2 linked regions of the Coturnix japonica genome follow. The protein of the gene in region 1 purifies or fractionates together with the protein of each later gene. This does not show direct contact. Links are inferred from orthologs where the notes say so. Each region holds a gene or a part of one and is shown on either strand. Other genes may lie near its edges.

Region 1 (6,015 bases):
TTGTCCTTGCAGAACAGTTTGTCTTCTGAGAACATACTGATCCAAGAACTGCCAAGCCAGAAAGAAATTGGGAAATTACGATCATAAATCATAATTATGATCATAGAATATAATGGGAGGTTTAAAAAACTAGGCTAAAAGCTCTTCTTTGACTTGTGACTGATTGTGTTGGAAATAGAATTTAGAGGAGTAGTAACATTAGAGGTTCCAGTACTAACAAGAAAACATCAGAGAGGAAGATCAGTTAGTAAGTTTAACAATTTCTTTGATATTCTGGTCAGAAGTCTCAAAGCTCTGATGTGATGTCATTTAAGTAATCTTTTCTCAGTTAAATTAATTAGAGTGAAGCAATACTCCCTGCAGTGGTTACTTGAGATAGTGTTGTTCGCTTGCAGGCTATGAAAAGGATTAGACTGGGGAAGTATATCTCTGCCTCCTTGAATGATGATAAACTGTGATCCATCATGTGTGAAGCACTAAGGGTTTACTTTCCTTTTAAGATGTTCTTGACTCACATGGCTCAGCAGGAAGTGCAACCAAATGTGAGAACTTTTAATGCTGTACTGAAGACTCTGAGAAGATGTGGTGGTGTAGGCAGAAGTATGGCCATGCCAGTAATGAAGGAGATGGAAGCACTTGAAATTGGTAAGAGAACCAGAAAGCCACAGCCAGAATGAAGTCTTTGGATGCTGTAGCCTCTTAAATTAGGACCATGTTTATTGTTAACCTAGTTACATCTAGGTCTTCAAGGACAGGTGGGCATGCAGTGGGCAGGTAGTAGTTGCACAACTGATTTGATATGTGGTGGAGGGTGATTTGCTCAAATAACAGCTTATTGATACACTAAAGGCATGTAGAGTAGAAAGCTAGGTACAAAACATTACTGCTGTTAAATTAGAGCAGGGAGTCTTGGCCACATGTCCCTTAGCAATATGATGCTCCAGCTGATTATCCGCTCTTAGACATTGTCTCTTCCAGTTGTAATTTTTGTAAAGGAGGTTTGGTCCATCGTTAGGGTCAAAGGGAGAGGGGTGATTGAGTAAATTATGGATAGTGCCTGACTAGAAGGCATGGAGACTGTGAATCAGAGCTTGGGCATAATGCTCAGTTGAGAATGTTGTCCTAATTTCAATCTTCTTGCTTTTCAGAGCCTAGCCTTGCAACGTATGATCATCTTCTCTCTATATTTTATAAAACTGGTATGTGCATTATTACCTTGTCTGCAAATGTATCTTGAGTAATATCTGGTTTAAATGCTTTCCAAATGCAATGGATGAGAGCAGTCGATTTATGACCTCACATAAAGGTGTGCAGCCCTAACATTGTTAACTACACTGATTCCACTTGAGTGAACAAAACACTACAGAGTAGAATTACTTCTTCAACAGAAAAAAGAATCCTTCAGAAAACTTATTTTCTTGAGTTGATAAAGGCTGCTCAGTCTTTGTGGAGGAGATTCTGTACCAACATAGTTGATAGTACAGCTGAGGTGTGATATTGCTTATTTGTTTGTCCCACAGTTGATCTTGCCCCATCAAGCATCATCTCCGAGGTGCTGGATGATGTTGAAAAGAGGAGCTTCACTCCCCAGGACCCTGATGATGGTATGAATTTCATCCTGTCTGACAGTCGGGTGTTAGAGGGGCAGTTGTAATGGCTTGGACAGCTGTGGGCGTGCTGAAGAGGTGGGTGACGTACCTCAACACCTGTCTTGGTGTTCTCTGTGTTCTCTGCCATAGCTCAAATGAGAACGTAGCTTTTGTAAAGCTGCCCAGGCCCAAACAGATCACCTGCATTGCTATATTGTCAAATTTAGCTGCACTTTCAGTTTCTAATTGAAAATGTTGTGTCTGTCTCTCAGGAGGGTGGGTTAGTGAGTTGCTGTGTGTCTTATTGAAAGCTGGAAACTAATGCGTCATTTTTTCCCTTTCAGCCAGATTTTTTACCAATGCCATGCAGGTGGTAAGTAACTCATCCCTACTGGACTGTCAATGAGTTTTCCAGCCTGTCATGTGAGATTTAGCCCTCAGCGTCATTCCCTTTTTCACCTGTGTCCATCACCTTCTGCAACCCTTCTGCATAATCCTGTGGTTTTTTATTTGATATTTCTCAGTTGGTAACTTGCCTGTTCATGCATTTCTTGGTACAAAGAGCTACACAGCTGCCTGTGTTCTGTGCCTGCCTCCTGCTTCTGGCAGCAGTCAGCCACCTCCACACCTGAGAATGTCAGTGTAGCTCACACAGCAGCTTTGGCTTTTGCCCAGAGAGAGAGTCACTCATTTGTCCCATGTAAGAAAAGTGCTTAGCAGTCACTGCACTGAATTGCGTTCCATTAAGGACGTTTGCTGTCAGACTGTTACTGGTCTGTGTGAAAGTGAGTCTTGGGAGAAAGTGTTAAGTGTTACACTTGGTATCTTTAACACCTGACTCATTTCTTGCAGTGCTGTGATCTTAAGGATATCAAGCTTGCCTATCGTTTAAATAAAGCAATGGAGAAGGGAGACAATTGGAAGTTCTTGGACATGGATCGCTTAAATTTGTACTGGTGAGTGAAGTGCATTCAACATTCAGCATCTTGAGTGTTGTGATCAATTTGAGGACAAACTGAGATTTGAACGTTACCTGCCCAGAGGACAGAGAGGAATGTTGTAGATCCAGCCCTTCCATCTCCTCAGTTTAGCTTAATCCCCATCCAACATTACGCCAACCAGAGGAATCTTTTACAGTCCTGTTATCCACGTAGGATGGCAGTTCAGGAGACCACAAAAAGTGGCTGTATCTCTGTTGTATGTAGAGATCACAGAGTACCAGATGTATTCAGAGCTGTTTTCCCTCTTGTAGGTCAAAATTCTTTTCGTTGTTGTGTATGATGGAACAAATTGATGTCGTGTTGAAATGGTACAAAGAGATGAGCCCTTCGGTGAGTGATTCCTACTGTAAGCTTTAAAGCTTTACAACACAGAACCAGTACGATTACAGTCCACTGAAGTGATTCTTCCTTCATCAGCTCTTCTATCCGAGTCCTAAAAACATCTTGGACCTCCTCCAAGCCCTGGATGCAGCCAACCACTTGGAAGTGATCCCTTCTGTCTGGGAAGGTTGGTGGGAGCCACATGGCTACGTGGGGTTATAAGCTGGGAGCAGTGCACAGTGGGAGGTGTTGGGGAGTACTTGGAGGTGCTCAGAAGAGCTGTGGTCAGATGCTTTGGCAAGAAGGATGTTATTCCTGAGATTCTTTGCCTATTCATTGCTTTTTAGGCTGGGGAGGCAAGAATGCAGATATGGTTTCAGTGTATAGAAAATATCCTACTGACTGCTGTCTGTATCACAACAGATATGAAACAGCTGGGGTTTAATAAGAGACGAGATCTGTTGGAAGAAATTCTGTCCTTGATGAGCAGGGATCAGCACCCTGCAGAGGTAAGGAAGCCCAGTAAGAAAAGAGTAAAAGATGTCTCTAAACACAGCTCTCCTGACCGGAGTTGTTTAGCGTTAACAATGTGATCCTTTCACAGGTCCAATTGGCATTTGCCAAGTGTGCAGAAGATATCAAAGCAGTCCATGAGCAATCTGGGAGAGATCAGGTCCCACTGGAATGGACGGGCAGTGCACTGGGCAGTGTCACTGTGGTGTTTTCCAGGGCTGGGAGAACCCAGGACGCGTGGTACGTGTGTGGCTGTCAGGAGCTCTTTGGTGATGCTGTAACTCAGGTGTAGAACAACTGATTTTCTACAGCTTCCCATTTCCTAATTTTTAGAACTCTTCACCAAACTCCTGAAGAGTTTAAATGGGATAATTAAGTTCTTAATTAGCCCTGGGTCTAATTAAAACTGAAGTGAATATTTTTAGAACCCCAAGATTTTAATGTGAACTCGTCACCAGTCACACTGGTCATTTGTTCTGTAGTATTTGAAGGTGTTCTGTGTTGCTGTTCAGTGACGTTAGGTGGTATGTGATGCATCTATAAGCATATGGTATTGGATGTGCTGGAGCTAAGGGGTGTCTCTAGGAAATAGAACTCACCTGTGTTTCATCTCGGCCTTGTCCCAGAGGTTTAACACCTGTCTATGCCTGTGTTTTGTTTTTGATTTTCCTTTTGAACAGGAGCATGATGGAGCGTTTCCAGCAAATCAATAGGATTCCCACGTGAGTACATCCGGGTTCTGACTCTGTGCACCCAGTCCTCTTTTGTCTGAGATCTTGCACTTCTGTTATGACTGATAATAGCAGACCATATCTGAGGGCAGCTGTTAACAGCACTTTGTGCTTGCCCTTTTCTGCAGCCTGGAAGGAGGACTTAAGGCTGCCAGGTCCCTTCAGAGCCCCTGACTCAGTTTGGGGAGTAGAGAAAGGAATTGTACCATGAGACTGTACCATGGCTGATAGTTTGTGGGTTGTGAATGTGAAAGGAAAGTTGTTTCCATGTTGTTAGAAATGGACTTAAAGGCTCTCTGGTTGCAGTATTCCCTGCAGTACCAGCTGTGAACACTTGCTTGCTTCTTGCTGAAAGGCAACAAATGTGCAGCAGCTGTACAGGTAACAAAAGAGCAGAGCCAGCACTACGACATGCAGTGGAGCTGGAGGAGCAGAGCTCTTTGTGCCCATGGACATCACAGCAGCAAAGACATGCTGGCCTGGGATTTTAATCACTGTTTCTGTACCTCTGCTGTCCACAGCGTAGGCCTCATGTGGGGGCTGTAAAGGGGGAAGGGTTACTTAGGCTGTTGTAAAGGTGGGGTCTTCATCCTGGGCAGTGGGCTGCTACCATCCATTTTTGTGCAGTACTGCTTTCTATATGGATAGGAGTTCCAAAGTGCATCATGTTGGTATGGGGTGAAAGCTGAGGTGCATTTGTAACAGCTCTGGCAGGAGCAGAATTAGGCTGCTTATGTCATTTGAAAAGTGTCCCCTCCCTTCCCACCCTAAGGCAGCCAATGGCCACCTCACCTGGGGCCCTGTGAGCCACCACCCTCTGCCTTTGCTCTTACAGTGACCTGGTGATGGATGAGTTCTTGAACTGTGCTAAACAAACCAATTCCCCGGAGGAGGCGATTAAGCTGGTGAAGCTGGCAGCATCCCTTGGTCTTCCTTCATCGCAGAAGCTTAAAAGCAGAATAGAGAAGGAATTTGAACTCTCTGAAAACCAGAAGTAAGTTGGCCTGCTTTATGGTATTGCTGTAGGGGTATAGTAGGCAGGGTGTTAGAGGGATAATTCCTGTGCAAAGGCTTCTCTGCTAGCACAGCTAACAGAACTTGCTTTCAGAATGATGATGTGCTTTTGTACTGACTGCTTCATCCACACCTCAAAAAATAACCCCTCTTGATGATGCTTAGAAGGGAATGAATGTGACCTTTCACTGTTTTGGATATCTTGTTTCAAGCAAAAGGTTCCAAAGGTTTTTTCAACATATTTTTTGACTCAACTGTTTAATATTTGCAGGAGGACACTGGAGAGCATCCAGTCAGACAGCGACAGCAGTGACAGCGACAGTGACAGCGACAGTGACAGAGACTAGCTGTCCTCCCTGCCTTCCCATAGGGAAAAGCTGAAGTGCTCTGGTGAGACACGTGCTGCTTTCTGGCTCAAGCAGCATTTCTCTGGGTCATCCTGGGACTTAAACCAGTGCTGAGTTCCTTCCATGCTGACTTCACTTAAATATGAAGTTCAGTCTGCATGTAAATGCTGTAAGTAATCGTTGTCTGTGGTGTTATTTCTCATCCATTTGGTGCTGGGACAGGCTTTGGAATGTAGAGGAAAAGCTGCCACTTGTTTCAGCCTCTGTACAGCTGGATGCTGCATCTAATAAAGGGCTGATGCTAAGGACAGCTGAATTCTGGTAATCTCTGTGCAGACAGTGTTGGTTACGCCCATTCTCTCCTTGCAGAGGAATCTTGGGAGGTTTTTTGAGGTAATTTATTGTGAAGGTCCTTTTCCTGCTCATACTGAAGCATGTCCTACTGTGGGGGAATTAACAGCCAATTCCCTTCATAAGAAATAAGACCTCTCTGGGTGTA
Region 2 (6,115 bases), on another chromosome or scaffold:
GCAGCATACTGCATTTCTGACAGCTGAGCACGTGCTCTATAAGCACCATTCTCAGCCACGTTCTACTCAGCAAACTTTTTAACAAGTTTAATGCCAGTAACAAATTAATGCCAGCAACATAACGTGGGTCCATTTGTTCCCTAAATGGAATAAAATCCATCATAAGAGATGTCACAAGTTTCAGCACGTAAGCAGTGATTTTAGGGAGACAGGAAACCCTTGTCCCCTCCAACCCATTTGGCTGAGGTCATGCACAGCGCGTATCAAAGAGGTAACACGTTTCAGTTCCCAGCCCATCTTACCTGATGGACAAACACATCTTCCTTGGTGTCATTCCTGCAAGACAGCACCAAAGAGAAATTCAGATGTGAGACAAGCTGCGTGAGGGCCCAGCTTCAAATTCAGTTGTTTAGGGGTGAGGGGAAAGCAGGGGAGCACCGGGACAAGTAGCTGTCAGCTCTGCACTGCTCAGCCTGCTCTAAGGGGAGGCTGCCTCAAAGAAAGACCTTGTTGGGGACCTGTGTGAGGTGCTGAGTGTTTTCCTCCCTCCCCACATATCCCACCAACAGGCTCGGAGGAAAAACACCTGACAGCCCATCAGTTGGGATAGCACAGTGGAAGATGTGACATCACAGGCTATGAAAAGCAGCACACACAGCCTGCGTCCCCAGCTCCATTTCCTGCAGTGATGAATGCTCTATGAGGGCAGCAGCGTGGCTAACAGACAAGCAGGGCACAGGGAGCTTCCTGCTCCACAGTTACACAGCACAGCCCCGGAGCTGTGCTCACCGCTCACAAGCTGTGAGCCCTCAGGCTCACATCACACCAGCTGAGCCTTGCTGCAGTGTCACTTCAAGTCATTCCACAGCCCAATGAATCAACTGCTGAATGCCTTTTATTTCCTAGAATACATGTTATAGGCACAGCTAGTGCTGCAGTGCTCAGAACTGGACTCATTTAAAGCCAGTCACTCCTCCCCGTGCCTTTAACACACGGCAATAACAATACTGTGAACAACTCGATCCAAGTTACAGCTGCCCCGTCACACAGTACCAGCACCACACACCCATTTCCTTATGGAACTGACGCCTGCAAGAACTACTGACCTCAGAGCTGACGGAAAACAGTTCATCCAAAGGGCTACAGAAGGTGATCAGCTCAGCCCCAGCCCCACCAGGCAGCACCCAGAAGCTCTTAAAAAGCCTAAAACTCTTACAAACACAACATGAGATCATAGATGTTCCAGCTGAGGGCCTTGAGGGAAGCCCAGCGCCTGCATTCAGTCAGTGCTCACTGTGCTCCCAACAAATGCAGAGCTCTTCAAGTGTGGATGCTCTGCACTCCTCCCAAACCCCATTCCTCCAAGCACATCAGCTGCTCCTCATTTCATTTAGAGCCCTTTCTACATCACATTTCCCATTGAAGATCATGCTGGAGCTCTGGCTCAGTAAACGACTCAGTTACACTGAAGCAGATTAAGGTGGAGATGTGATTTGTTCAGAACCCTCCTGGTTAATTCTAAAACCCAGTGTCTGCCATGGGATTTCTGCACTAAGCCCATCGAGGAGCAGCACATGAGCTGCCACACGGATGGTGTGGGAATAACCATCTGTAAATAAGACAGGAAGCACAACAGGAGCTGCCCATTGTGAGGCACTCAGCTCATCGATGCTCTTAGTATCTTTAACCTCTTACTAAAAATAGTAATAAAAATCAGAAGAGCAAGCGGTGATTAAGAAAACACAGCAAAGCTGTCAATACAAAGCCAGTTATCAGTGTGCAGCCCCAATTATGGCAACAAGAGCAGCTCAACAGCCAGCACATTCAGTTGTTTCATTGACAGCTGACAGAATCCAAGCTAATATTTCAGAAGGGAATAATAGACGTACTTAATATTAATATACAACAACAGGCTACAACCAAAGCCAACGTGAGCTGCGAGCAGACCCAAACAAAGCTCCTGCGGCTTCCCTTGTGGTGAGCCTGAGCTATTTGGGAGCAGGGGAAATGTGCTCCAGCTCAGTTCTCATCTCTTGATAACAGGAGCTCACGCTGTGTTTCTCATTAGGAACAGCATCCTCAGGGATTAAACAGATGCCAATATAATATGAGCGGGGAAGCCATTCAGATGTCTTAACTAGCTGCTCCTGCTTCCACACTTGACTCATGTAGCAGCTATGAGTGGAACAGGAAAAAACCCTCCCAGAGGCTGTTAGTGAGCTGGAGCTGTGCACGCACCTCCAGGAGCAGGGGATGCTGCTGGGCTCCTCTAACAGCTGTTTGACACCTGACACTCAAACACCACTGGGCCAGGCTTTAGAGCTGCTCACCAGTCAGAGCTCAGAGGATGAAGACCAGGCCACAGTATAACAGGTAGATGAAAAGATGACATTTAGGCCAAATTTTCCTGAAAACATCAGTACCAACACTTGCTTCCCTGGAGGAGGATTCCCCAGCCTCCTCCTGTCAACCCCTGTGACAGCAGATTTGAAGTCACCAGCTCCCATTCCATGTATCTTTCTTCACCGTGGTAACTTGATGGAGCTCACAGCACTTTCCTGCTCCTCAGAGCCACGTGCTGTCACAAACGAGAGAAGCAGCAGTGAACTCCAGCAGGAAACAGAGCTGCCCTGGGGCCTCCTGCATCCCAGGTACCCGGCAGAGGAACATCCTCCAGGGCTGTTCCATGACAACACCACATAGAAAAACAGGGCTCTGCAGAACCACCACCACCTGCAGGCACTCCAAAGTGACTGAGGGAAGAACCGTTCTCTAGATCAGCTGCTGGCAGAGAAAACAGCCTGACAGCACGTTTCTCAAGGCCTAGACATCACATAATCACAGAACTGTATGGGTCAGAAGGGATCTCTAGAGATCAAGCCCAACCTCCTGCTAAGGTGTGTTCCCCAGCACAGGTCACAGAGGTGATTATCCTTTGGTCTTTAACATCTGTAGATAAGTAAGCACGACTCTGGGCTGACTGCTCCACTATTGACAGTAAAGTTCTTCCTTGTGCTATTATGGAACTTCCTGTGTTCCAGCTTCTACTCCCTGCCTCTTGCTCTGTGCTGCACACCACCAACAACAGTCTGCCCCCACAGACTTGACTCCTGCACTTTAGTTCCTTAGAAGCAGTGCTAAGATCCCCTCTCAGCCTTTCCTCATACAGGAGACACTCCAGGCCCTGATCTCATTCCAGCCCTCCACTGTGCTCTGCCAGCAGTTCCCTGCCTGCCTTCAACTGGGCAGCCCAGCACCAGGCCCAGTGCTCTGGATGTGGCCTCCCCATGGCAGAGCAGAGAGGAGAACCTCCCTCACCTTGCTAACAACACTGTGGGGTGCTGCTGACCTTCCTGGTTTATAGACACAACCTTCCTGGTTTATAGTCACCCTATTGGCCACCAGGTCCCTCACTGCAGATATCCCCTCAGCAGCCTGCGCTGATGCCCACAGCTGCTCCTTCCCAGCTCATGACTCTCACTGAAGCTCATCAATCCCTCTGACTCCTCACAGCCTCAACTTCACACCGAGCTTTAAACAACGTACTGACAGCCCGCAGCACCGCGCCGGGAAGCAGTTAAGGCCTTATACCGCAGGCCACGCCACCCCCCACGCGCCCCCCCACCCCCACCGCCGCCCCGCTCACCTGTTGATGAAGCCGTAACCGTTCCGTACGTTGAACCATTTCACTGTTCCCAAAACCTTCGTTGCTGGCAGAGAGAGAGAGAGGGGAGGGGGGGGGTGAAGGAGGACGAGCAGAGCGCGGCGTCATGCGCGGCACGTGGCGGGGCGGCGCACACAAAGGCCCCGCGTGGCGGACATCTTGAGCCGCAACGCCCCGCCCCCACCCGACACGCGGGGCCCGGCGGAGAGCGGCGCGCGCGCGGGGGGGAGAACGGGGCGGGAAAGGGGAGCGGGCGCGCGCATCAACGGCCAACGGGATGTGAGGGGGGGGGGATGGAGGGGATGGAATGGAGATGGAGGGGGTGGATGTGAGGAGATGGAGGCTGTGTGGGGAACGGCCCCCCCGCCCCCCGCTGCCCCCGTCCCTCACCGATGACCTTCTTGTCCCCGCCGGCGGGAGGTGCCGCCGATCCCAGCCCGCCGCTCCCGTTCCCGCTGCCGCCGTTGGGTTTGGACTCGGCGTTGTTGGCTGCGGGAGCCGCCGCGGGGACGGGGGCGGCGGGCGGCTGGGTCTCGGCCTCGCTGCTCATGGCGGCGGCTGTTCGGTGCGGACGGTGGTGGTGACTGGCTGTTTGCGCCGCCTCCCGCGGTGTGATGGTGACTGAGGCCGGCCGTGGGGGGGCTGCTCCCTGCTCCGGGCTCGCTGAGCTCCGCTCTCCGCTCCCGATACCGATCGAACTGGCCACAATGGCGGCCCGCACCGGCTAGCCACCCCGCGCGCCCCGCCCGCGCGCGACGCTATTGGCCGCTCGCCCCGCCCGTCATTCTGCGAACCAATCCCGTGCGCCTTTCCCCTCCCGGCGTTAGCCATTCCCTGAAAGCCCATTGGCCGCGCCGCCTGCCTTTCCTCATCCCCGCGTTCCCATTGGTCGCGCAGCCGGCGGTTGCTGGGCTTCTTTTTCCTCCCGCCTACTCTTTCTCCCCGCCTCCCAGCTCTGATTGGTCGCCGGCTCTGAGGGGGCCGAGGTCGCGGCGCTGCGGGTCCGGCCGTTGTGCCCGGTGTGTCCGTAACGGACCGACGGTAACACGAGCCAACGGGCCGCGGGGACGGCCCGGATGTGGAGCAGGAGCCGCCGTCATTACAGCACGGTGTGTCCTCGAGGCACACGCCTGTAATTGGGCCGTTTCACAGCCAGGCCGCAGCTCTGAGCGCTGCTCAAAGCCGGGTTTAATGAGCCGCTTCCCAGAGACACCCCCGGGCTGTGACTGCAATGGGGAACGGGCGGTTAAACCGGCTCCGGTTTAATATCACAGCTGGGAGGGTGATACTCAATGCATCGGGTGTCAAACGGAGCAGATATATGTGCTTTATATGGCAAAGTGGCATCTGGGTGCGTCCCATCAGCACAAACGTCTCCTTTTCTGCTCACCAATAACCCACAGATGGGAACAGGGCCCAGCTTTATCCTCCGTGGGGGAATGTTCAGCCCTTGGCTCCTAGGAGAAACCTTGGCCGTGCAAAGCCAGAATGGGATACTATGGGATACTATGGGATACTATGGGATACTATGGGATACAATGGGATACTATGGGATACTATGGGATACTATGGGATACTATGGGGTGCTATGGTGATGCTATGGGATGCCGTGGGGTGCTATGGGACGCTACAGGGATGCTATGGGGTGCTATGGGACGCTACAGGGATGCTATGGGGTGCTATGGCAATGCTGTGGGGATGCTATGGGGTGCCATGGGGGTGCTATGGGGATGCTATGTTTCCTTCATCACCCAGTGTACTGCATGTACAAGTGAGACACGCTGAGCAGGAGAGAATCAAGTGCAAGTGTTCTCAGCAGCTGTGCAGTCTCACAGCCTGTCCTGTAGATTTTAAACAGCTGTTAGATAGAAGATGACACCAAAGCATGCCCACAAGGATCACACATTAGCGTCAGCCCACACCACCCTCAGACAGCCCCACACTCTGCACCTCAGGCAAAGCTCATGGAGCATCGAGCTGAGCCAGGAGCAGGTTGGGATGGGACAAAACAGCTGCACGTGACAGCACAGACTGAGAGTGCTGCAGGGGAAACTCACCTTGGTGCCCAGCACCCACAAAGGGTGACTTCAAGCTGCCCAGCAGACAAGCCTGCAATCCCAGTCTGACAATGAGAGGTTTACCACAAACCTTCAGCCTCAACTCTGTTCTCTGTAATGACTCTGAGTCCTGAATTCTACAGCTTGCTCATTCTCTGCTTGCTGGACAAAATGCCTTCTACTAACACCGTTCTAACACCCATGTTAATTCCTCTAACACCAGTGGCTTAAAGGAACCTGATGCCTTTTGGCCCAGAGGACTAACAGCAGAACTAAACTCACCCCAGAGCCCAGAAAACCCTGCCCATCATGCCTTGATCCTGTCCTGTGCTTCAATAAAGTGACATGTAGAAAGATTCAGGACAACCCCCAGAACTTCTCTGCCAGGGCAGCC

What was found. The genes of interacting proteins can lie anywhere in the genome.
Region 2: the proteins of PTCD3 (region 1) and YBX1 purify together in Homo sapiens (co-immunoprecipitation; 4 studies listed by BioGRID and IntAct, with this or other methods). This does not show direct contact. The link is inferred for Coturnix japonica from reciprocal best matches to the Homo sapiens genes PTCD3 and YBX1.

What each region holds. Positions count from the first base shown.
Region 1 is NC_029519.1:77,495,001-77,501,015, forward strand, and holds the end of PTCD3 (pentatricopeptide repeat domain-containing protein 3, mitochondrial), read left to right. Parts: intron 1-500; coding exon 501-645; intron 646-1,148; coding exon 1,149-1,199; intron 1,200-1,520; coding exon 1,521-1,604; intron 1,605-1,933; coding exon 1,934-1,962; intron 1,963-2,441; coding exon 2,442-2,545; intron 2,546-2,841; coding exon 2,842-2,920; intron 2,921-3,007; coding exon 3,008-3,098; intron 3,099-3,334; coding exon 3,335-3,420; intron 3,421-3,515; coding exon 3,516-3,664; intron 3,665-4,104; coding exon 4,105-4,146; intron 4,147-4,990; coding exon 4,991-5,149; intron 5,150-5,440; coding exon 5,441-5,516; 3' UTR 5,517-5,832; downstream 5,833-6,015. UniProt on the Homo sapiens protein: Mitochondrial RNA-binding protein that has a role in mitochondrial translation.
Region 2 is NC_029536.1:5,558,222-5,564,336, forward strand, and holds the start of YBX1 (Y-box-binding protein 1), read right to left. Parts: upstream 4,391-6,115; 5' UTR 4,215-4,390; coding exon 4,055-4,214; intron 3,711-4,054; coding exon 3,647-3,710; intron 337-3,646; coding exon 303-336; intron 1-302. UniProt on the Homo sapiens protein: DNA- and RNA-binding protein involved in various processes, such as translational repression, RNA stabilization, mRNA splicing, DNA repair and transcription regulation.